2 linked regions of the Diceros bicornis minor genome follow. The protein of the gene in region 2 purifies or fractionates together with the protein of the main gene of each other region. This does not show direct contact. Links are inferred from orthologs where the notes say so. Each region holds a gene or a part of one and is shown on either strand. Other genes may lie near its edges.

The links.
Region 1: the proteins of NLRP3 (region 2) and USP50 purify together in Homo sapiens (affinity purification with western blotting; 3 studies listed by BioGRID). This does not show direct contact. The link is inferred for Diceros bicornis minor from reciprocal best matches to the Homo sapiens genes NLRP3 and USP50.

What each region holds. Positions count from the first base shown.
Region 1 is NC_080744.1:46,741,960-46,753,676, forward strand, and holds the start of USP50 (inactive ubiquitin carboxyl-terminal hydrolase 50), read right to left. Parts: upstream 5,460-11,717; 5' UTR 5,424-5,459; coding exon 5,239-5,423; intron 4,969-5,238; coding exon 4,773-4,968; intron 2,703-4,772; coding exon 2,496-2,702; intron 965-2,495; coding exon 822-964; intron 1-821. UniProt on the Homo sapiens protein: Deubiquitinating enzyme that removes conjugated ubiquitin from specific proteins to regulate different cellular processes. Regulates the inflammasome signaling pathway by deubiquitinating 'Lys-63'-linked polyubiquitination of the PYCARD/ASC adapter protein.
Region 2 is NC_080740.1:931,052-942,230, reverse strand, and holds the start of NLRP3 (NACHT, LRR and PYD domains-containing protein 3), read right to left. Parts: upstream 5,610-11,179; 5' UTR 5,556-5,609; intron 3,873-5,555; 5' UTR 3,813-3,872; exon of another isoform or gene 3,646-3,812; 5' UTR 3,602-3,645; coding exon 3,328-3,601; intron 223-3,327; coding exon 124-222; intron 1-123. UniProt on the Homo sapiens protein: Sensor component of the NLRP3 inflammasome, which mediates inflammasome activation in response to defects in membrane integrity, leading to secretion of inflammatory cytokines IL1B and IL18 and pyroptosis.

The sequences.
Region 1 (11,717 bases), on a different chromosome or scaffold from region 2:
ACCTTTATATGGTGGGATCTTACAGTCACTACCTTAACTAAGGGATCAAACTTAACATTGGCAACAGTGGGACAACTTTTATGAGGTGCCTCCTGATATAATGTGATGACAAGTACATAACATTATCTATGCCGGATTCTTGCTAAAAAAGTTATCCCAAATCTAACCATGCGGAAACAATCAGATAAATCTAGAACGAGGGACATAATCTAAACTCCACCTCAGACCTGTGGAATCAGAATCCCAATGGTGGCTCCAGGGAATTTATTTTTTAAAATCACTCAAAGTGAGTGCCAAATGTGCATCAACAGATGAATAGATAAAATATGATATGAATACAATGGAATATAATTCAGGCGTAAAAAGGAAGGAACTTCTGGTACACCTCACAATGTGGATGAACCCTGAAAACATTAGCCAAGTGAAATAGGCCAGCAAAAAGGACAAATATTGTATGATTCTTCTTATATGAAGTACCTAGAATAGACAAATTTATAGACACAGAAAGTAAGTTCGAGGTTACCAGGGGCTGGGGAAGGAGGAATGGCGAGTAACTGCTTAATGGTTACAGAGTTTCTGTTTGGGGTGACAAAAAAGTTTTGGAAATAGGGGTGATTGTTGCACAACATTGTGAATGAAATTAATGCTGATGAATTATACACTTAGAATGGTTAAAATGGCAAATTTTGCTATATATATTTTATCGCAAATTTTTAAAAATTAATGTAATATACCAAATACCATTCAATTGCATGGTATGTAACTTGTATCTTGATAATATTATTCAAAAAAATCTGCTCACAAAATGTCAAAATCCTTACCTTTTTAAGTGAAAGATAACTATTTTTGGTGCTTTGGAAATACTGGCCCTCACAGCTGTTTCTTGCTTGGTTTCACAAAAGGAACAGTGAATTCGGTTGTTCCAGGTCAGTGTGTCTTGTTGAAAAAAACACTGGAGGCAGTCCTGTTGGGGAAAAAAGCATTTGGTCACCAAATCAGATCACCTGCACCCTGGGCTCTCTGTTTATATGAGAACTTTGGAAGAACTCTGGCAATGTAATTTGACTTTTCTCAAAGTCACCAAGCCCAGGAGACAGCAATGTCACAGCTGCAGCCTGGATAGGCGTTAACACCTACCTGGCAAAGGAGCTGCTTCCTTCTCATTTAGTTACTGAAATGGATCCAAGTGCCCATCTCACTTCTAATCTCTGAATCAGCATTGTAGCGTTTCTGGTTTATTTCAGAATATTGACTGTGCAATTTCCACCAACCAGTCAGGCGGCTGCTTTTCGCTATTCACCTCATCACAAAAGTGATCTGGTGATTGGAAAAGCACCATATCTCAGAGTTTGGGGTGACCCATAATAAAAGCAGCAGAACAGAGAGAATTAGAGCCCATGCCCGCAGGAGACCTCCTCAGTGTAGCCAGGCCCCCCGGCTCTGCACACCATTAACCTAAAGAGGAAGATGAGCATAGATTCTGTTTTCAGTAGACATGCCAGCACCTCATTTAGTCTTTGGAATTCCTTTCCAGCAATCTTGAGCAGTCTGATCTGAGAACAAAGCCCAGTCTGAATAAGCAGTAGAATTCTATTCTCCAATTCTGGTATGTGAAAACTTTTAGCAAGAGATATGCTTTCATAATTTAGGAAGAAAAATATAAGTGTGTATTATTCTGTGAGGCTCCCTGCCTCCCACCTGTTCCCCGTCTTCTACTGCCGACCCCCCCACCCCCCCTTTACAGATGAACTTTTTTTTTTTGCTGGGAAAGATTCTCCCTGAGCTAAAATCTGTTGCCAATCTTCCTCTCTTTTTTTCCCCCTCCCAAAAGCCCCAATACATAGTTGTATATTCTAGTTGTCAGTCCTTCTTTTTCTTCTATGTGAGCTGCCACCACAGAATGGCTACTGACAGATGAGTGGTGTGGTTCCACGCCCCGGAACCAAACCCGGGCTGCTGAAGTGGAGCATGCCAAACTTTAACCACTAGGACATCAGGGCTGGCTCTATAGATGAACTTCAGGTATTATGGTGAAGAAAACTCAAGAAGTAAACTAAGGCACTAGATTCTATTCTGTCTTCCCAACACATTTCACAGCTTTTGTCAAAAATGCAAGACCTCAAGATGATGAATCTTTTATATCTAGTTCCCAATCTGGGCCTACAGACCTCTGAGGTGAGGAAAGGCCATCAAATTTTTGCCAAAAAGTACAAATTCCCTATATGCACCAAGCCATCTCAATAGACTGAAGAAACCCCACTATCTTTTCAGTTTTACAATGAGGCTGTTTTATTGAGTACATTTTGAAATACAACTAAATTCACAGTAATTTTTGTCTGCGTGTGACTTTTCTATAAAACATTGTCATCATGGGCTTCCAATTTTTTTTAAGTTATAAAGCAGCCCCCCTCATACTAGAACATGTAGGAAACAGCCCTGAGGAAATCCTGGGGTAGAGCAAGACCATGGAAGTATCCAGGAATAAGGATGCCCACCTGAAGCGAGCACTGGGATTCAGATGGAATGGGGAGGGAGAGGACGGTGAAGACTTCGTTCTTGTAGGTGCAGTTCTCACACTTCAGACAGGTGACCCTGTAACTGAGCTGCCCTTCGAACAGCCGGGTGATGATGGAGGTCTCACTGGCGATCGCCTTCCTGCAGCATCTGGGAATAGATCCTTTCTCATATGACCTGCCGTGGTACTGAATCAAAGAACAAATTCGCTCCAAATCAACTATTGATTATCAAAAAAAAATTTTTTTTTAATGATTTTATTTATTTATTTATTTTTCCCCCAAAGCCCCAGTAGATAGTTGTACATCCTTCCAGTTGCTGTACGTGGGACGCGGCCTCAGCATGGCCAGACAAGTGGTGCATCGGTGCGTGCCAGGGATCCGAACCCTGGGCCGCCAGCAGTGGAGCGCACGCACTTAACCGCTAAGCCACGGGGCCGGCCCATCAAAAAATTTTTTAATGTTTAAATTTTTTCTATCAGAATGATACATTGCTACCAGAAAACATTTAGCTTTGGATTCAGACAATAAATAGAATAAGATCTCTTAAGAGCATATACTGTGTGTGATATCTGATAGTTCAGTTATTTTCCCCCTTAAGTGCAGCTGAGGAATGATTACACCCTAACTCTTGTAACCCGTGCCCATGGCCCCTTAAGCTGATAGCCTGTGATAATGTGATATAAGGTCCTGGAGCCAGTTTTTCCCGGGAAGAGGGTAGTAAGCTATTAAACTAGCTTTCAGTCGTGCAAGTTGATCTAGAGGTAAAATAAAGGAATCTGATCTCTCCCCCAGTCCCTTCAAGTTGTGTTCCCTAGCCTCCCCTTTCATTATTAGTTAGGAAACACTTCTGTAAAAGAGCAAATCTTAAGTTCCAAAGGTAGCTTGATTTTTTGTTTTTGTTGTTTTTTTTTTGCTGAGGAAAATTGGCACTGAGCTAACATCTGTGCCAATCTTCCTCTACTTTGTATGTGAGTCACTGCCACAGCATGGCCGCTGACGAGTGGTGTAGGTCTGTGCCCAGGAACTGAACACCGGCCGTGGAAGCAGAGTGCACTGAACCTAACCACTAGGCCACGGGGCCGGCCCAGGCAGCCTTGTTTAACCAGCCTTGTGGCCTGGTTTGCATCTGGCTCACGTGCAGGAACAGCATTTCCGGGAGCACACCCTGACTCGGTGATTTTACAGCCTCCGTAGAAGACACGCTCGCTCTGCGTCAGCTCTGATCTGGAGCTGTACACATGCTCCCCTCTGGCTTGCTTCTGTCGTCACACCCTGTGTGTTCCACCCTGACAGTAATTTAATGCCCCTAATTCCGAGTTTGGTTTGGGAACCAGAATGCTATCTACTTCAGAGTGGCTGCAGATGAGGACTGAGTGATTTTTACTGACCATCACCCTCCCCTCCGGCCCACAAAAGTGCTGCCGTGATTATCTCATTATTAGCAAACATGAAAACTGCGGACTGCAGATGAGAATGATTAATGGCTGTAGTTAGTGATCTTGCTGTATTTCCTGGATGTGAGGTATGAGGGGAGATAACATCAGCACAAGGACCCTGCATAAAGTCAAGGACATGTCTGTGGAGAGTGTGGGTCTCTCCACAGATCAAGGCTGACGGCAATGAGTCTTGCAAATAAAGACAAAACCCGTAGTAACTGGCGATTTCATGTTTTATTAAATGTCTGTCCTAATCCAATGAAGAACTCAGATTAGGCAGGTTTGGGATGAAGGTGAAACTTTGCAGTATATAGATCTGTCCTTTCATCTAATACCAAGCTTAATATTTTCCTGGGTGTGTAGTTACCAAGAACATTTATTTTAAGTTGTAAATTTCTATATGTTATATCTCGTGAGGAATATATTTTTATAAAAAATGTGATTTCCACTTTAGAAAAACAGTCCATGCAGCTGTTATTTGCAAAGGGAACTCGATTAGTGGTTCCCACACCTGCTGATCACTGAAAATACCAAGTAAGCTTTCCCAGAAGTCACCACCAGACATTCTAATTCGGTAACAATGGAGTGCGGGCCTTAGAATCTGTGTGGCAAAAATCTTCCCAGGTGATTCTGATGACCAGCCACGTTTGGTAAATATAGACCTATTCAAATAGTAACTTAAGTGTTCCCCATCGTACCCCCAGCACCTGTACCTGGCACAGTGTATGCCATATTGACTGAACAAATGGAAGAATGAAAAATGAAAGTTGCTGGTAGAGTTGAAGATCTATCCTATTTCAACGCCATTAGTTCGACTTACCTTTTTCAGAGCCTCATGAAGCTCATTCAGGACATGAATCAAGAATTCCTGAGCATCTTGCTGTGTCTTTTTCATAAATGCCGGGTAGAGGTTGCCAAGAGCTGACCGAAATATTTCTGGTGAGACGCAGTCTGCGTCTCCAAGCCACATGTCTGTCATCACGTAGGCAAAAGCAGTGGCAACCTCACCGCAGTCCCTTGGAAGAAGGAAGGGGAGTGTTTCTGGCTGATTTAATAAAAAGAAGGCCTCTGAAAACCCAAGCATGTGGCACCAGACCAAAAATGAAGCTTCATTCTCTCTTGGTTGACCTTCCTGCTTTACTCACACTAGAAATGGTACCTGGGGCGCTGCAGCCTCTGCTGACTCATGTAGCTGGTAAAAGGGACTCCAGAGGGTTCCTTCCCTACCCTCACCTTGGGGGAGCCGGGACTGGGGGCTGGGCTGCAGGGAGCGCATGTGGTCTTACTTTCGAAGAGCGGTAATGTACTTTCCAGAGAGAAAGTATTCCACCAGTGGCGAGATGCTGCAGAGACACTGTAAGATGGCATTCATGTAGCATGTGTTGCCCAGGTTCCGCAGGCCAGTCACACCCTGGAAATGGGACTGGTTCTCATCAGCCTCGCTACCTGGAGAGGTGTCAGAGGGATCCATGCACTCTGCGCTGTGTTGGTGCCAAGTGGAAAGAAAGGAAGGCATTTTGAGGGACCCAAATATGTACAAATGACGATAAGGCCCTCTCTACCTCATGACACAAAGGAGAGTTCTTAATAAGACTTCCGTCCAATACACTCCCTACCAAGGACTGAAGTATTTGAACTTGAAGTCTAAAATTGCATTATTTAGTCTGGAACTCTTTGAACAGGGCCTGCAGCCAAATAAGCAGAGATCAAAGTTTCTTCCTAAAACCAAAGCCAGAGGACAGAAAATGTCAGCTTTTCAGAGTCCCCAGAATTGCTTGGCTAAAAATGCAAGCTTTCTCTGTAAATACCAAAGTATTTCCTTTATTGCTGGGCAAGTAATTTAATTGTTATTACTAGTTATAATAACAATAGATAGTAGTTATTAACAATAGCTATCATGTACTGAGCCTGGCACTACATTAAGTATTTAACATGGATTGTCCCATTTAATTCATTCAACAATTCTCTGGGGTAGGTACACTTATTTTTAAATCCTGTTATACAGATGAGATGTCATGTTTAAGTGGCTTAATCATTTACCCATGGTAATGTACTAAGGGATAAGCAGTGGTATGTAGAGAGGATTATTTATCTACCTACCTACCTATCACCTGTCTGTAAAGAGTTATTTGGGTTTATATATCATATACTAAGAGTGTATATGTGTGTGTGTGTATACACATACATAGATAAGGCATCTATACATATTGAGAGCAAATATATACACATATTAGGAGCATATATACATATATTAAGAGCACATATATGTGTGCGTATACATACATAGAGAGAGAGATAAAGAGCACAGACTTCGTAAAAAATATATCTTAATTAAAATCATGACTCTGCCACTTAGTAGTTACATTTTCTGGGACTCTTCTGTCTGTTTCTCATCTATAAAATAGGAATAATGCTACCTGCCTTATAGGGTTGTAGTGAGGATGAGATTAAACGATGCAAGGCACGTGGCACAGATTACATAGTTAATAAATGGTAACCTAAACAAAATTTTAAAGAGGTGACTGATGTAGGATGTCCTTCACAGTCAGCTCTAGAATTTGGGCGTTCACGTGAACCAACTAGACCTGCACAGAGGAGAGAACGCCACGGGCTTCCAAGGAGTCCTCCTCTCCCTACGCGGAGCTTCCTTTGGTCATTTGGCTATTGTGCCAAGCAGCCCAGCCTCTTTATACTTTATGACTTTTCTTTTCAGCTACAGTTTCTAAAATTGGGTCTCCATGAGATGGCTGCATCACCTCAGTCCCTCTACTTACACTTCTGCCAGTTTGAAAGTGCTGTTAGTTACATGGATGGTCATTTTCACTCTTACTCACCGAAGTAATGGGAGGCCCTGGGCTGTCATTCTTTAGGAATATCTATTGCCTTCCTTTTGGGGGACCTCCAATGGGTCAAACCTAAGGGGACCCTTCCAAATGTGGCTCCCTGACTCCCTGGAGCGTGGCCTCCTCCTGCCCCCCAGCTCCGCTTATCTAGAAAGCTGTAGTAGACAGAGGCTTACAGGACATAGTAGATGCTGAAGTCATCTGCAGGGAAAGGCTGCTGCGAAGTCATTTTAGTGAAACCACGTTGGACTTTCTATTCAGGAGCTCTGTCTAATCCTTTTAACTTCATTTCTCCGAGCCTGTTACTTTGGCTCTTTTTGTTTGTAATAAACAATTTATATGTTCCTCCCTCCTTTCAGTAGCTGCACACTGACTTTTATATCTACTTCAGCACATTCCAATTTGGATTTTTCCATGCATCATAATCTTTTCCATTCACCTTCAAGATTCTAGCATGTTGCCATGAGTTACTGTTACTTGGTTGCTTAAAAACTAGATTGATTTCAGAGAATGAATTGAACATATAACCTCTCTTCTTCCACCACTCAGTTTCTCTTGTGCATAAATAGTACACACATCCACAGAAGATTGACCTCCACTAAGTCAGTGGAGACTCTGGCAACCCTGCCCACTTTGAGCATTCATCCACCCTCCCAGAGATCGCACAACTCCTAGGACCCTGAGGGAATGTTTCCTACCGTGGGGAGGGAGGCAGTTGAGTTTTGCTGCTTCCAAAAATGCATAGCATTGCAATAGACTGGAGTATTTCCCTTCATGGTCATCAACTATAGTGCAAAGAGGGTGCAGACACACACACATGCACACACACGCACACACAACCCACTAGTGCCACAGGGCAAATATAAAGGGTCTATCATAGAAGATTTATAAGATGAGAAGTAGCAGAGCACATATGATCTCCTGATCTCTCATTTTCTTCATAGAGAACTGTGCTTAAGAAAGCACTTCAGGGGGCCGGCCCCACGGTAAAGCAGTTGAGTTCTGCGCATTCTGCTTCAGGGGCCCAGATTTGTGGGTTTGGATCCCAGGCGTGGACCTACACCACTCATCAGCCATGCTGTGGCAGTGACCCACATATAAAGTAGAGGAGAATTGGCACAGATGATAGCTCAGGGCTAATCTTCCTCAAGGAAAAAGAAATGAGGAAGATTGGGGTAATCTTCCTCAGCAAAAAACAAAAAACAAAAAACACTTCAGTAGAGAGGGAATCCCCCTCAATGACCACCCCCCACCCCATGCTCTATCCAGGTGAAAAGGGGTCAGAGAACATAATCAATCATGTAGCAGTGAGAGCAGCCTGGGGGAGTAAGTGGTCTTGTCTGGAGCTTCAAGCTGCCACCAGCCTGTTCTTCCTTTGTGCTCAAAATCTGTAGGAAGAAGGTAAAGAAAGAGCCTTTTGGGCCAATCCAATTTTTCTCAACCCTGCATCAAGTAAAATGAATGAGGTAATAAAAGAAAAAACCTTTTCAAAAATGTAAATGTCAGGAAAGAAGGCTGAGAGCTATTCTAGATTGAAAGGAGACTAGAGAAACAAGACAATTAAATACAATACCCAATCCTGGTTGGGATCCTGGATCAGGAAAAAAATTGCTATAAAAGAACATTATTGGGACAATTGATGAAATTTGAATATGGATGATATATGAATAGTTTTGTATCAATGTTGAATCTTCTGAATTCTATAAAATGGTGCTCTGTTTATGAAAGAGAATGCCCTTGTTCTCAGGAAATACACAATGAAGGATTTAGGGGTGAAGGGGTATGATCTATGCAACCTGCTCTCAAATGGTTCAGGAAAACACGCACAGACCCAGACCCACATGAGGAAAGGAAGGAAGCAGGAGCAACAGGGCAAATAGGAAGCAAATGCAGCCCAGTGTCAGCAGTTGGTGCATCCGGGCGAAGGTGCTTGTACTATTCCTGCAACTCTTCCGTAAGTTTGAAATTATCTCAACCTAAAAAGTTTAAGAAACGAGAATGTACTAAATGTGCTTGTAATATGGATTGATCTCTGAGATATATTACCGGTAAGTCAAAAAAGCAACGTGCTGAAGAGTCCGTCTATAGTATGCACCCCATTTATGTCCAAATGGTTGAAAAAATGAACATACATGTATGCTCAGGCCACACAAAGACATTAAGGATAATCATTCTTTGACAGCGGGATAAGGGATCCCAGCCACTAGAGGTACCAACTCTTGCAGCTATTTGATACCTGCGGTCTATTTACGGAGGTGTTTCTTGAAGTCACCTCAGAGGTGATTCTGCAGAACAGGAATCCTATCATCCCACTGCTTCTGTCAGTAAAGTTCTCCCAAGTTCTTCAGTTTCTCCTAATCCATGGAGTCTTTTTAAAATTTCATTTTATGTTTGATGCTGGTAGGTAAAAATACAATTCATATTCATATGTTGGTCTTGTATCCAGGAACCTCTTTAAACTTAAAGTCTTTTATAGAGGTTCTTTGGATTTTCCATAAACACATTCAAGTCATTTGAAAAAAATCCATCTTATTTTTTCCTTTCCAATCCTTATGCCTTTTATTTCTTACCTTTTGAACTAGCTAGCACCTCCAGTAAAATGTTGACTAGAAGTGGGGTGAGTAGGTATTCTTAGCTCATTCCTGCATGAAGAGGGAAAGCTTTGAATAATTCACCACTAAGTAGGATGTTTGCTAAAGGCATAATTTTTTTCAGAGTTGTAATCATAAATGGATACTGAGTGTGATCAGCTGTTTCTGTATCTTTTAAGGTAATCATGAAATTTTTCTTCATTATTCTGTTATTGTGGTTAATTATTGATGATGGTCACATTTTAAACCAATCTCCTATTCCTTGAATAAACCTATCTTGTTTGTGATGTAGTATCATTTTCATGAATTGGTAGATTCTATTTGTTAATCCTCTGTTCAAGGTTTTTGTATCTATGTTCATGAGTAAGGTGACCTATGTATTAGTGTTCTGTGCTGCGTAACAAATTAGCACAAACTTAGTGGTTTAAAACAACACACTTATTATCTCAGTTTCCGTAGGTCAGAGTCCAGGCCTGGCTTAGCTGGGATCACATGTCGCATTTAGTTCTCACGTCTTCTTAGGGTCCTTCAACCTGAAACAGTTATGTACCTCCTTGATTTTCAATAACTTGACACATTTGAAGATTATTGGCCAGATATTTTGAAGAACATCCCTCAGTTTAGGTGCTACACAATTTTGATTTGTTCCAACACTGGGGATGTTAACTGTAATCACTCAAATAAGTGGGGTCTGCGAGGTTTCTCCACTCCAACTTTTCCCTTTTGTAACCAGTATTTTGTAGGGAAGATTTTGAGACAATATCAATGGTCTGTTCCTCATCAAACTTCCACACACTAGTTTTTTTTTTTTTTGGTTTGTTAGACCACTTTTCTTGTTTTCAGAAGGGATCACCATGATGGCTGTAGTTTCTGAAATATATTTCTAATCTGCTAAATTATCAGGGCTCAGCTGTAGCATATTTACTCCATTCACAAAGCCTCCATGGAGTACATACAATAGCTCACATTAAACAATAATTAACATTTATAACTATAACTTCATGGTTTATAGAGTACTAACTCATTTGGTATGTCTTAGATCTGTACATCAATTCTGATGTATTAGGGAGGAAGTTACAGCTCAGAGAGTTTTTTGGCTTTTTTGGCTTTTTTTTTTAAATTATGTCAGACTTAAAGAAAAGTTGCAAAAGTAGTACAAAGAATTCCTATACACCTTTCACCCAGATTCTCCAAACGTTAACATTTTACCACATTTGCTTTATCATTCTCTCTCTCATTTTTTTGTGAACTGCTTGAGAGTAAGTTATAGACATGATGAATACTTCAGTGTGTATTTCCCAAAAACAAGGACACTCTTACATAATCACAATATAATTATCCAGATCAGGAAATTAACCCTGATAATAGCACTATTATCTTATCTATAGACTTTATGTAAATTTTGCTAGTTGTCCCACTAATATAATTTATTTTAAAAGTAAATAAATAGTAAGACATTTTTTTTCTGGTCCACCATCTAATACCAGATCAGATGTTGAATTTGCCTGTCATGTATCTTTAGTCTCCTTTAACCTGGAAGTTTCTCTGTTTTTCTTTAACTTTTATGACCTCGACATTTTGAAGACTATGGGCCATTTATTTTGTAGACTGTCCCTCAATTTGGATTTGTTTGATGTTTTCTTGTGATTAGATTCTCGCTATGTGTTTTAGCAGAAATTGATGTTGTTTCCCCCTCAGTACATTGTATCAGAAGCATGTGGTCTCTATTTGTCTCTCTACTGGTGATGTCTACTTCAGTCATGTGGTTAAGATGGTCTCTGCCAGGCCTATCCACTGCCAAATTACTATTTTTTTTTCTCTTTGAAATTAATAAATATCTTATGGATACTTATTAGATACTTGGAGACTATGTAAATATTCTGTTTTTCATCAAATTTCTACTGTCTAGTTTTAGCATTCAATGATGATCCTCGCCTAAAACAGCTATTACTGCAGTGGTTGCCAAATGGCCATTTTCTTTTTTTTTTTTGCATGCAAAAATATCTTTTTTTTTAATATTGTGAAATTTTTGTTGCACATTATTGTTTATTCCACACACTAGTTTTAACATTAATCGATGTTGCTTCACTGGATTAATTATCAACACGGTGGTTGCCAAATGGTGAATGCCATTATTCCCACTACATTTATCAGTTGTTACTTTACCATAAAGAGACGTTTCCTCCTGTTTTTATTTAGCATTTTATTTTAATCAGTGTGGACTCATGAATTCCTATTTTACCCAGTGGGTTATAATCTGTTATTAATATTATTTATTTTTGATGTACAAATTGTCTCAAGATTAGCCAGGAGGGGCCCTTCAAGATGTTT
Region 2 (11,179 bases):
CCTGAGATGGGCCTCTGTATCCTGAGAAGCAGGAGCGTGCAGGCTGACCAAGCTCCCCAGCTCCCCAGTGCCTCCCAAACTGGGTCTCCAAACCCAACTGGAACTCCCACCCTCATGGCTTACCTTTCTTTTTTTTACAAATAGAGATTCTGGAGAGGTACCCCAGTAAACCTATCCATTCCTCTTCAACACTTTCTTCTTGGCATATCACATGCGAATGATCTGAAAATAAAAGGAAAAAGATACAAAATGTCAAAACCCAGGACTCCTGACTAAGGTGATGTGATTGAGACCCAATACCCAACACCGGGCACAGGTCAGAGCTCCTGGCTGGACCCCTCCCAACCAGCACACGGCTCAGAGCTGTGGCTGACAGGAGGGCAGGTGAACACCAGCTGAGGGTGTCCCTGCCATCCTAATTTCAAAGCAGTGGATGTCACCCACCCAGCCAGCATTGTGGCCCCTCTTATCAAGTTGAGGAATCGCTCCCCCAGGCCTGGAAATCACTGGCAGGCAAGGCTTCCCTCACCTCCTTTGTCTTTGGGAGACTCCCCTCACCACCCCACCCTGCTGGGGTTCTGGTTTTGAGGCCCTCCCCACGCTCTGCAATATCCCCAAGATGGCCACGGGCCAGCGGGAGCATCCTTCCCTGACCTCAAACGCCTGGAATTCATCTTACCCACATTCTGGGTCTCCCAAAGTGAGAATCTGTGTCTAACTCAGCGGTTCAGAATCCTGGCTGACATTAAGAAGCTTTAAGAGGTGGGGCCCAGGCACCACTAAGTTTTAAAAGCTCCAACATGCATCCACAGTTGAGCATCACAGATGTAAACAATCACGAAATCACATATTCCAAAGAGGCGTCCACAGGAGAAATTTAGGCATGGTAGGACAAGAGTTGGCACAGGGGAAACACATGGGCAGAGAACCTGAGGAGGGCAGGAGACCAAGAACGACATAAAGGACTCCTGGTAGGTGTCTACTTATTCTGCGGGCAAATGGTATTGGTAACCCAATCACAAAACAAAATGGCTTGCTGCACTTACACAGTGAAGGCAAAAGTTCATCTGAAAGTGCCGGCCTCATGGGGTTTGTGTGAGGAATGAACAAAATCCACGAAACTGCCTGCAAACGACTTCTGCAACCACAACCGTCACCCTTGACTGTGGTTGGTGAGTAGCAGGCGCTGACGCAGTTATGGTTGTACTATTACAGCAGTTTCTCCAGAGCACCCCACTGCCGTGCGCCCCTGCCTCGGGTCCTGGGCATTTTTCTCCCCTTCTTCATACCCACGTTGCCTTCCCGCCTCATCATGCTTCTCCCCAGCTACCAAGCACTTTTACTCCTCCTTCCCACCAGCTCAACATCATCATCCTTGAGGTTCTAGATCCTTCTGAGTCCTTCCTTGTGCCCCTCCCTTGCTCAGAACACCAAGCTTAAGGAAGAGCGTGTTGGGGCCGGTCCCGTGGCGTAGCGGTTAAGTGCGCGCGCTCCGCTCCTGGCGGCCTGGGTTCGGATCCCGGGCGCGCACCGAGGCACCGCTTCTCCGGCCATGCTGTGGTGGCGTCCCACATAAAGTGGAGGAAGATCGGCACGGATGTTAGCTCAGGGCCAGTCTTCCTCAGCAAAAAGAGGAGGATTGGCGTGGATGTTAGCTCAGGGCTGATCTTCCTCACACACGCACAAACACACTAAATAAATAAATTTAAAAAAAAAAAAAAAAGAAAGAGCGTGACCCCGAGCATGCCCACAGGATGCAGGAAATTTCTTTCACCATTCCAGTGCCCAAAGTCATGGCCACAGGAAAGGCTTTTCTGTGAGGTGAGAGCTGGCCCCCTGAGCCATGGGAAGCAGACACTCAAGCTTGCTGGCTGTGCAGACAGACACATGAGGAGCTGGATGAGAGATTCAGATAAAGTGAAGCTAAACAGGGGAGGTTCCTAGGGGTAGATGAGCCCTGACGTGGGGTTTTAAAGGAACTAGAAAAAAGCAAAGTGCTTTCCTCCATCTTCTCATAGTACCGTCATGAGAAGAAGAGAGAGGATGAAGCCAAGATAATAAAAGAATTGATTAAAAAACAAACATACTGGGCTGGCCCCGTGGCGTAGCGGTTAACTGTGCGCACTCCACTGCTGGCGACCAGGGTTCAGATCCGGGCACGCACCAACGCACCGCTTGTCAGGCCATGCTGTGGCGGTGTCCTACATAAAGGGGAGGAAGATGGGCACGGATTTTAGCCCAGGGCCAGTCTTCCTCAGCAAAAAGAGGAGGATTGGCAGATGTTGGCTCAGGGCTGATCTTCCTCACAAAAACAAAAAACAAAAAAACACCAAACATACTAGCTTTGACACATTAAAGGAAACTATCAACAGAGTGAAAAGGACCCCACGAAATGGGAGAAAATATTTGCAGATCATACATCTGATAAGAGGTTCATATCCAGGATATGTGAAGAACTCCTACGAGTCAACAGCAATAACAACAAAACCCAATTAAAACATGGGAAAAGGACTTGAATAGACATTTCTCCAAAGGTAAACAGACGGCCAACAAGAACATGAAAAGACACTCGATGTCACTAGTCATCAGGGAAATGCAAATCAAAACCACAATGAGATACCATCTCACACCCCATACGATGGCTACTATCCAAAAAAAAACCCCGTAACATACTTGTTGGCGAGGATGTGGAGAAGTTAGAACCCTTGGGTGTACACTGTGGGTGGGAATGTGAAATGGTGGAGCCACTATGGAAAATATTATGAAACATAGAATTACCATATAATCCAGTAATTCTACTTCTGGGAATATACCCAAAGGAAATGAAAGCAAGGTCTCAAAGAGATTTGTACACCCATGTTCATAGCAGCATTGTTCACCATAATCAAAAGCTAGAAGCAGTCTGAATGTCCATTGATGGATAACAAAATGTGCTACATACATACCATGGAATATTATTCAGCCTTAAAAAGGAATGAAATCCTGTCACATGTGACAACATAGATGAAGCCTGAGGATATTATACTAAGTGAAATAAGCCAGACAGAAAAAGACAAGTACTTTATGATTCCATTTATAAGAAGTCTGCGGAATGATCAAATTCATAGAGACAGAAAGTGGTGTTTGCCAGGGGCTGAGGGGAGAGGCGAATGAGGAATTGTTGCTTAATGGGTGTGGAGTTTTGCAAGATGAAAAAGAGTTCTGGAGATTGATTGCACAACAACGTGAATGTGCTTAGCACTACTGAATCATACACTTAAATACGGTAAATTTTAAGCTACATCTATTTTATCACTATTTTAAAAATACCTTCTTGTTTCCACTCACCCCACTCTGGCTCATCCCTCTTAGCTTTCTCGTGGAGGTCTCTCCTGTTGATCGCAGCAAAAATCCACACTGCCATGGCCCACGCCTTCTCCTGCCCGTTGAAGTCAATCATCAGGGTGGCGAGATCCACAGGATCTGCTTTCTCTGTTTGACCCCGAGGGAGCGGGGTGCCCTTCTGAGGAGGATAGTCTTCCAAGTGCATCTTGAATTTCTTCAGGTCTGCGTCCTCCAGGTCCTCCAGGTAGCGCGCCAGCTTGCAGCGGACGCCTGCCATGCTCTCCTGCAGCCCTGGTCAGGCAGCTTGGGCATACGTCCACACTGGGAAGTCCGGTGGTGAAAACAGCATATGGGTGAGGAACGTGTTTTTAAAAGTCCACCCTGAAGAGAACTAAACTATCAAAAACCCAGAAGACTGCAAGGAGGAAACATCACTGGGCTGTAACAAGTCGCCATCTTTGGTTTTGAAATGTGAGCCAAATACTTACCAGAAACTTTCCTGCCGGCTCTGCCCAGGACTGTGTCCTGAGCCATGGAAGAAAGTTTCCCTGTGGAGAGAAACAATAATTAAAACCACAGACTGGACCGCATTAACAGCATGATGGAAGCCCGCACTGCTTCACGGCGCCACCTCGACATATGGCCGGGGGCACCTGGTCCCACTGGTTACTGGGCTATGACCTCTGACAAGCTCTTCACTGTCCCTCACCTCAGTTTCCAAGTCTGTAAAATCACGGAGTGGGAAGGATGGCCTTTAAGTTCCTTCCAATTGAAAGACTCTGCTTCCTTGTTTCTGTTTTGACCCGAGGAAAGATGGATGGGGGATGAAAGAAGGAGGCCAGGGAATGACTGTGGTGATAGCAGAGCAGTGCACGGCTAGAGACAGAGGGAGAACATTGAGGCAGGCGGAGGAGGGGCTGCTCTGCGACTGCTCTTCTATCAATCCACTGATTGACGGAAACAGAAATGAGACGGGGCTTGGGGCGCGTAGGGGGAAGAGTGGAAACATATCCCTCTTTAATGTCTCCTGGTAAAATCTGTAATTGTGATAGGTATTAGAAAGGACATTTACGGAGAGCTTCTCGTGGGCTGGGCACTGCACTGATGCTTTTCCTCATCTAACCTCCCAAAGCCCTACGAGGTGCCTCTATTCCTAGCTCCGCTTTATGGAAGTAGAGACTGTCTTAGAGACGCTCAGAGAATTGCCCAGAGTTTCGCAGCCAGGAAGGGGCGAAGCCAGGATTTAGACCAGGGTCATCCGTTTCTGAGCCCACGCCGCTGCCCCTGCACTTTTCACAGCCTGAAAAGATAGGAGACCATTTCTTCCACCACTTAACTGTGTATCGTAGTCAGATAGAAACAAAAGTGATCAAAGACAATAGAATATACCATTAAAAGGAAAGCGTTTATCACACACAGCTTCTCACTGTGGCGTCCCCCACTCCATTTTCCTAACCGGACTTCAAGTTCCCCAGAGAGTGGAAAGCTGCTGTGTCTTTCAGTCTGCCACTTCAACTGGTTTTGGACAGATGAACACGCTGGATTTGTTTGGCCTTGAGTGCTTCGTATTCCTGAATTTGGAAAAGCACATCAGCCAAAGCCACCGATGATGCTAACAGGAGGCAGGGGCGCTGTGAAGCAGTGGAGCAAAGCGGAATTTATAACGACCACGGTCTGACGTTTGAGACGCCTCAACCACACTCATCTCTCCTTCTCCTATCGCCACTCGTGCCGCTCCACTCCTGGCCTCGCACAACCCCAAGTCTACCCCCTAATGTATTTGGTGGGGGGTCGAGGGGTCTCCAGACAGATCCACCAGCTCTGCAGACCCTCCCAGGTCCTGCTCCATCAATCTCTCATCCACAGCAGGACTCCGCCTCTCTGTGCTCCCCTGACCTTAACCCCAGTGCACTCTGCCCTGACGCTTACCCCTCTGGGCCTTTGCCTCATTTCCCCACACACGTCTCACCCACCCGCTCCCTGGTGGAATGCTGGAGTCATGGGGTAAGCCGTGGTTGCTGCCCGTGTCCTCGGCACCCCCCCAACACTTGCACACATAGAGTCCAAATGATAAACATAAAAGAACATTCCAGAATCATTGTTGGAGGACAGACTTGGAGGCTGGCAGAAGAAATCCCAAGTCCGTTAACCAAGGCGAGTCTGGCCCTCGACACCCCTCCCCATTATTCCCCGGCCCTTTCCGTCATCCTGCTCCGTGGAGCTGGACTCACCCAGATGTGGTCTCAGGAACAGCCGGAAAGGAAACTTGATGAATTTATAGCGGTCACAGCCCAGCAGGGGCAGGAAGGATGTGGTCTCAGTGTGGACTGAACGCGCTTGCATCACAGGCCGAGGCAGAGACTGAGGGTGACACACAGCTCCGGGTTTTCCAAACCGAATGCACAGTGTTTTCAAAGTTGAGCCTGGTGGTGGCTGGAGAAGTCTGGCCTCTGCTTGGTGGCCGTCAGGGCAGGGAGTGGGGGAAACTCGGTCAGTGCTTGAGGGGTGTTCCCTCTCACTCTCACAGCAGCCATGTGAGCGTGGTAGTGACAGAAGAGAGAGTGCAACGGGGGATCCCCCAGGGCGGGAAGTAGAGCGAGAGCTTGGCCCAGCGTCCAAGCACGGAGCCCATGCCCTTTCATGCGTCACGTGGAGGGGTCAGCAGGAGGTACAGATGCTCTCATCACCTCTTATTTATTTATTTTTTTTGTGAGGATGATTAGCCCTGAGCTAACATCTCTTGCCAATCCTCTCTCTGTCTCTCTCTTTTTTTTTTTTGCTGAGGAAGACTGGCCCTGGGCTAACATCTGTGCCCATCTTCCTCTACTCTATATGGGACGCCGCCACAGCATGGCTTGACAAGTGGTGTGTTGGTCCACACCCAGGATCCGAACCTGCGAACCCCAGGCTGCTGAAGCGGAGCACACAAAGTTAACTGCTATGCCACCAGGCTGGCCCCATCTCTTATTTTTTTTTTAAACCATCTTATAGAGGTAAGTATGCACCTATGAACCCATCACCACCGTGAACCCATCACCACCGTGAAGGCCATAAACACGTTTATCACCACCCAGACTTTCCTCCCACCCACCCCTTTGTTATTATTGTTGTTATCGTTATTATTATGATGATGTTGTGTGTGTGGTAAGAACACTTAACGTGAGACCTACCCTTTTAGTGGACATTACGTGAACAGGACAGTGTTATGGACGACAGGCTCTGTGCCGGACAGTCGCTCTCCAGGACTTAGTCATCCTGTGTGAAGGAAACTTCGTGCCCTTTGACTAATGGCTCCCCTTCCTCCCTCTCCCCAGCCCTGGCAACTGCCATTCTACTCTCTGTTTCTATGGGTATGACTATTTTAGATTCTTCATATAACTGATATCGTACAGAATTTGTCTTAGTTCACTTTACATAATGTCCTCAAGGTCCATCCATGTCGTCGCAAATGGCAGGATGTCCTTGTTTCTCATGGCTGGATAATATCCCATTGTGTATGTGTATATACCACATCGTCTTTATCCGTGCTTCCACTGATGGACACTCAGGTCGTTTCCATACCTTGGCTATCGTGAATAACGCTGCAGAGGACATGGGTGTGCAGACAGCTCTTCGGGGTCCTGATTTCAATTCCTTTGGGTAGGCACAAACTCTACTCCCTGACTCACGGCCTCACTGGCTCAACCGACACCTGTAGAGTACCTGGTGTGTTCCAGGCACAAACACAAGGCTGAAAAGCACCTTGCCTTCCCCAGGAGGAGCTGGAGGAGAGAGAAGCACCAGATCTGCTTTCCTCGCTCTGGCAGTGGCTGCAGGACCATGCTCTGACAATAGCATGACTTCTACAGAGTTTGGAAGGCAAGAGGCGCCCAGCACCCCAGGCAAGTGCAGGAACCCTGGAGCGAGAAGGACAGGTGTCCAAGTCCAGCAGAGGGGCGTTGGCAAGTGACTGTCTCTCTGTGCCTCGGTTTCCTTATCTGTAAAGTGGGGACAACAATGGCGCCTATTGTAAAGAGTTGTCATAAGGACTGAGCAAATAGATGGATATGGGGCCTTTCGAACAGAGAAGCTGGTGTTGGTGGTTGGTCCTGGTACTACTGTTGTCAGAGAATTACATGCAGAATGCTCCAAGGGGGGAAGAGAGGCAGTGGCTCCTCCTGAAGCCAGGGTGGGACAGCAGAGCTGAGTCTCAAGGTCGTCAGGGGCAGGGTACACGCAGGAGCAGCCGGGACGCCAGGTGCTGAGCCCGCAGAGAGCAGATCAGTCAGGCTCAAAAGGAAAGGAGCTCATTGGCTGAACCAGGGATTCTTTCTCTTTTTTTGAGGATGAGGGATCTTTTCCTTTTTCCTTTACATCTTTCTACAGCATTTGAATTTTTATTTTTTTGCCATGAACGTGCATTACTCATAAGAGTAAAGAAATAAATTAAACAATAAGTTAAACCAACTAACACTGCGTCTCTAGAGTAGGCCCTGAAAGAAATCCTCACGTTTGAATGATCATCAGAACGTCCCGTGAAGGCGGCAGGCACGGCTGAATGTCGTTTTACAGACGAAGAAACAGTCGTCGGTCAGAATTAGGTCTTTTTAAAGATCCAGGCAAGTGGTCAGTGGTGCGATTGATGCTTGAACTTGAGGCTTCTGGCTTCTAAGATGAGATTTAATTTTTCATTTCCAAATGATCAAAACAACTAATAGTGAATGTTTTTTCCCTCCTAGAACAATTACAGACTTTTCACACTTTCCTGTCTGGCATACATATCATTCCTTTCTAATACAGCGAACGGTTAGGCTGCACTGACCTGTAGTTTATGCTTTAGAGCTGTTGACTGCGGACTGTTGCTGTTTGTATTCGGCTGAGCTGAGTGAGGCAGGTCATTTACTTGAGGTACACATCCAGCCTTTCTCACGCGCAGGTCTGTGAGTTCTCACAAGCACGGTCGCCACGCAGCCACCGCCACAGTCGAGACGCAGAACACCTCCATCGCCCCCAAAGTCCTCCTTGTGCCACCGCACGATCAGCCTCTGTCCCCACCCAGATGCTGGCATCCACGGGCCAGCGCTCTGCCACTAAAGTCGTGCCTTTTCCAGGGAGTCACGTAAGCGGGATCCTGCGGCCGCAGCTTGTCCTCAGGTCCGTTCACCCCTTGGGGCGCACATGAGCTGCGTGCCTGTTTTGTCGGTGGGCTTTGTTCCTTCTTGTTGCTGGGTCAGCCAGTGGAGTGGACGCATCACAGGGTGTTTATCCACGCCCACACATTTGGGCTGTTTCCAGTTTTTGGCAATTGTCAGTAAAGCCACTATAAACATTCAAAAACAGATTTTTGTGTGAGTATGTTTTCACTTCTCTTGGGTAAATACCTAAAAGTGGAATGGCTGGATCATGTGGGAAGAGTATGTTTACCTTCTTAAGAAACTGCCAAACTGCCAAGGTGGCCACACCATTTTGCGTTCCCACCAGCAATGCACCCGTCTCCAGTCCCCGAGCCTCCTCCCCAAGCACGTGGCTGAATCAGTTGTGTTTTATTTGTTTAAGCCATTCTAATAGGTTTGTAGTGAACTAGGGAATTTAAGCAATGTTTTGAAAAATTCATGCAGCTGAGCTGGTTGCAATTATTTAAGGGCATCAGTCACAGGGAGGCTCGGGAGAGAGACGTGGTGCCCGGCTGTCACCACCCTGACACCCAGCTGCATCTCTCAGCTGGCCCATTCCCTTGGCTGGGAGGCTCAGATCAAACAATATCTGACAGAACGAGCAAAGCAGAAAGCAGTGTTCAGACACTGCTCCAGAATTTTGGAAAGATACTCTAATCATGTATGAAAACTAGGCAAGGGCCGGCCCCGTGGTTTAGCGGTTAAGTGCACGCGCTCCGCTACTGGCCGCCCGGGTTCAGATCCTGGGCGTGCACTGATGCACCGCTTCTCCAGCCATGCTGAGGCCGAGTCCCACATACAGCAACTAGAAGGATGTGCAGCTATGACATACAACTATCTACTGGGGTTTTGGGGGCAAAAAAAAAAAGGAGGAGGATTGGCAATAGATGTTAGCTCAGAGCCAGTCTTCCTCAGCAAAAAAAAAAAAAAGAGGAGGATTAGCATGGATGTTAGCTCAGGGCTGATCTTCCTCACACACACAAAAAAAAGAAAACTAGTCAAGAAAAAAATCACCATGTTTTGTGTGTTATTCTGCACTCTGAAAAAAATTCTGTTCCAGATGTGAGAATATCAAAATCAACACAAATAATAAACAAGGAAGGTCACAAAAGTACAACATAATGACTACCCTTCACACACGCCCCCTCCGAAGAAGCCTGGAGAATGACAATTTAAAATTGTGCCCTGAAGAAAAACAATTACGCCATCAACTCCTGAAGCTCCTTTTGTAAAGCAGAGGGGAACTCAGGGCACTGGGTTCCAAACCCAAATTTGCCACAAATTCTTGCTAACTGAATAAACGACAAGACACCAAGAAAAAGTCCACCTTGGGAAGCCAATGACTGTGTAAGCTACAAAGACAATAGCCACTGAAGGGTGAGGGGAAAGAAACAGGGCAGGGCGGACATGCTTCCCTCACTCACCTGCAAGTGCCAGGGACCTGGACAAGCCCCGGTTCCCGGGTGGGAGCAGAGTGAGGAGGTGCCAGAAGGGTGCTCTAAACCCCAAAATCCAGACATGAGACGTGAAAGTGTAGGGACAAAGTGTAGGGACAGAGATCCAAACATTTCAAGTCTATTGGAAGTTCTATTGGAAAACCCAAAGCCAGGCAGCGACAACAGTGCATGACCCCTGAATCCTGCATGGGTCACTGGGCCCGAACGCCTCCAGACTCTCACCCAGCTACCGGCCCCGAGCCCCAAACCGGGTACAGCATGAGAGCTGATCCCCCCGGGGCTGTGGGGAGGTGGTCTCCCTTCTCCTACATTCGTGGGGACCAGGCACAGTCCTGCCCTGGCACAAAGGTTCTCTTAGGCTGCAGAGATCGCTGCCACTTTCTGTCTGTCCAGCCTGCACTGACCAACACAGCAGCCACCAGCCACATGTGACCACCTGGGGGACCTGCTCCCCCCCCTCCCGTTAAAGTCGGTGCACATCGCAGAGCAGAGTACCTGCTTAGCCTTTTGCAGTTCACATCTTGACGTGGATGAGAAGGCATGGGAGAAAGATTGGCAAGTAGTGGGAGAGAGGAGAGAAAAGGAGCATTGTTTAAATTCACTAAAATCCACCATTCAGTTCCAGCTGCACTAGCGGCATTTTAAGGGCTTGACAGCCACATGTGGGGACAGCACAAAACAGGACACATCCATCACTGCAGACTCTCACTGGTCAGCCCTGATCTGACTCCTCCTGTCGCCTGGAACGGCTTCCTGGAGTTAATTCCTCGTGCTTGGAAACTGTAAAAAATTCCCAGCAGAATATTATTCCATCAGACATTAGGTGAGTTGTCGAAGGTATAAACAGGATTACCTGTCTTTAAATAGATATGTGCACTTATTGGTACATGCGTAGACAAATCTGAAGAGCTGTGTTGAAACCACAGTCTGCAGCAGGAGCACACAGAGGACCTTTATTTTCTACATTAACACAGAGGACTTGTGTTTTGTGTATCATGCTTTTCTGTGTTGATTGGCTTTTTTTCCAACAAGCATATATAACTTTGTAATTAAAAATGAAAAAAAAGAGTGCAGTATCAAGTTAGCGGGATTTTGGTGCCCTTGACCTAGGACGATCCTGACATTGGGCTTCCCGCCCTCCCAGCGTCCTCAGTACACCGTCTTCCATCTGACCTTGCTCCTTTTCTCTCCTCTCTCCCAATACCTGCTAATCTTTCTCCCATGCCTTCTCATTCACGTCAAGAT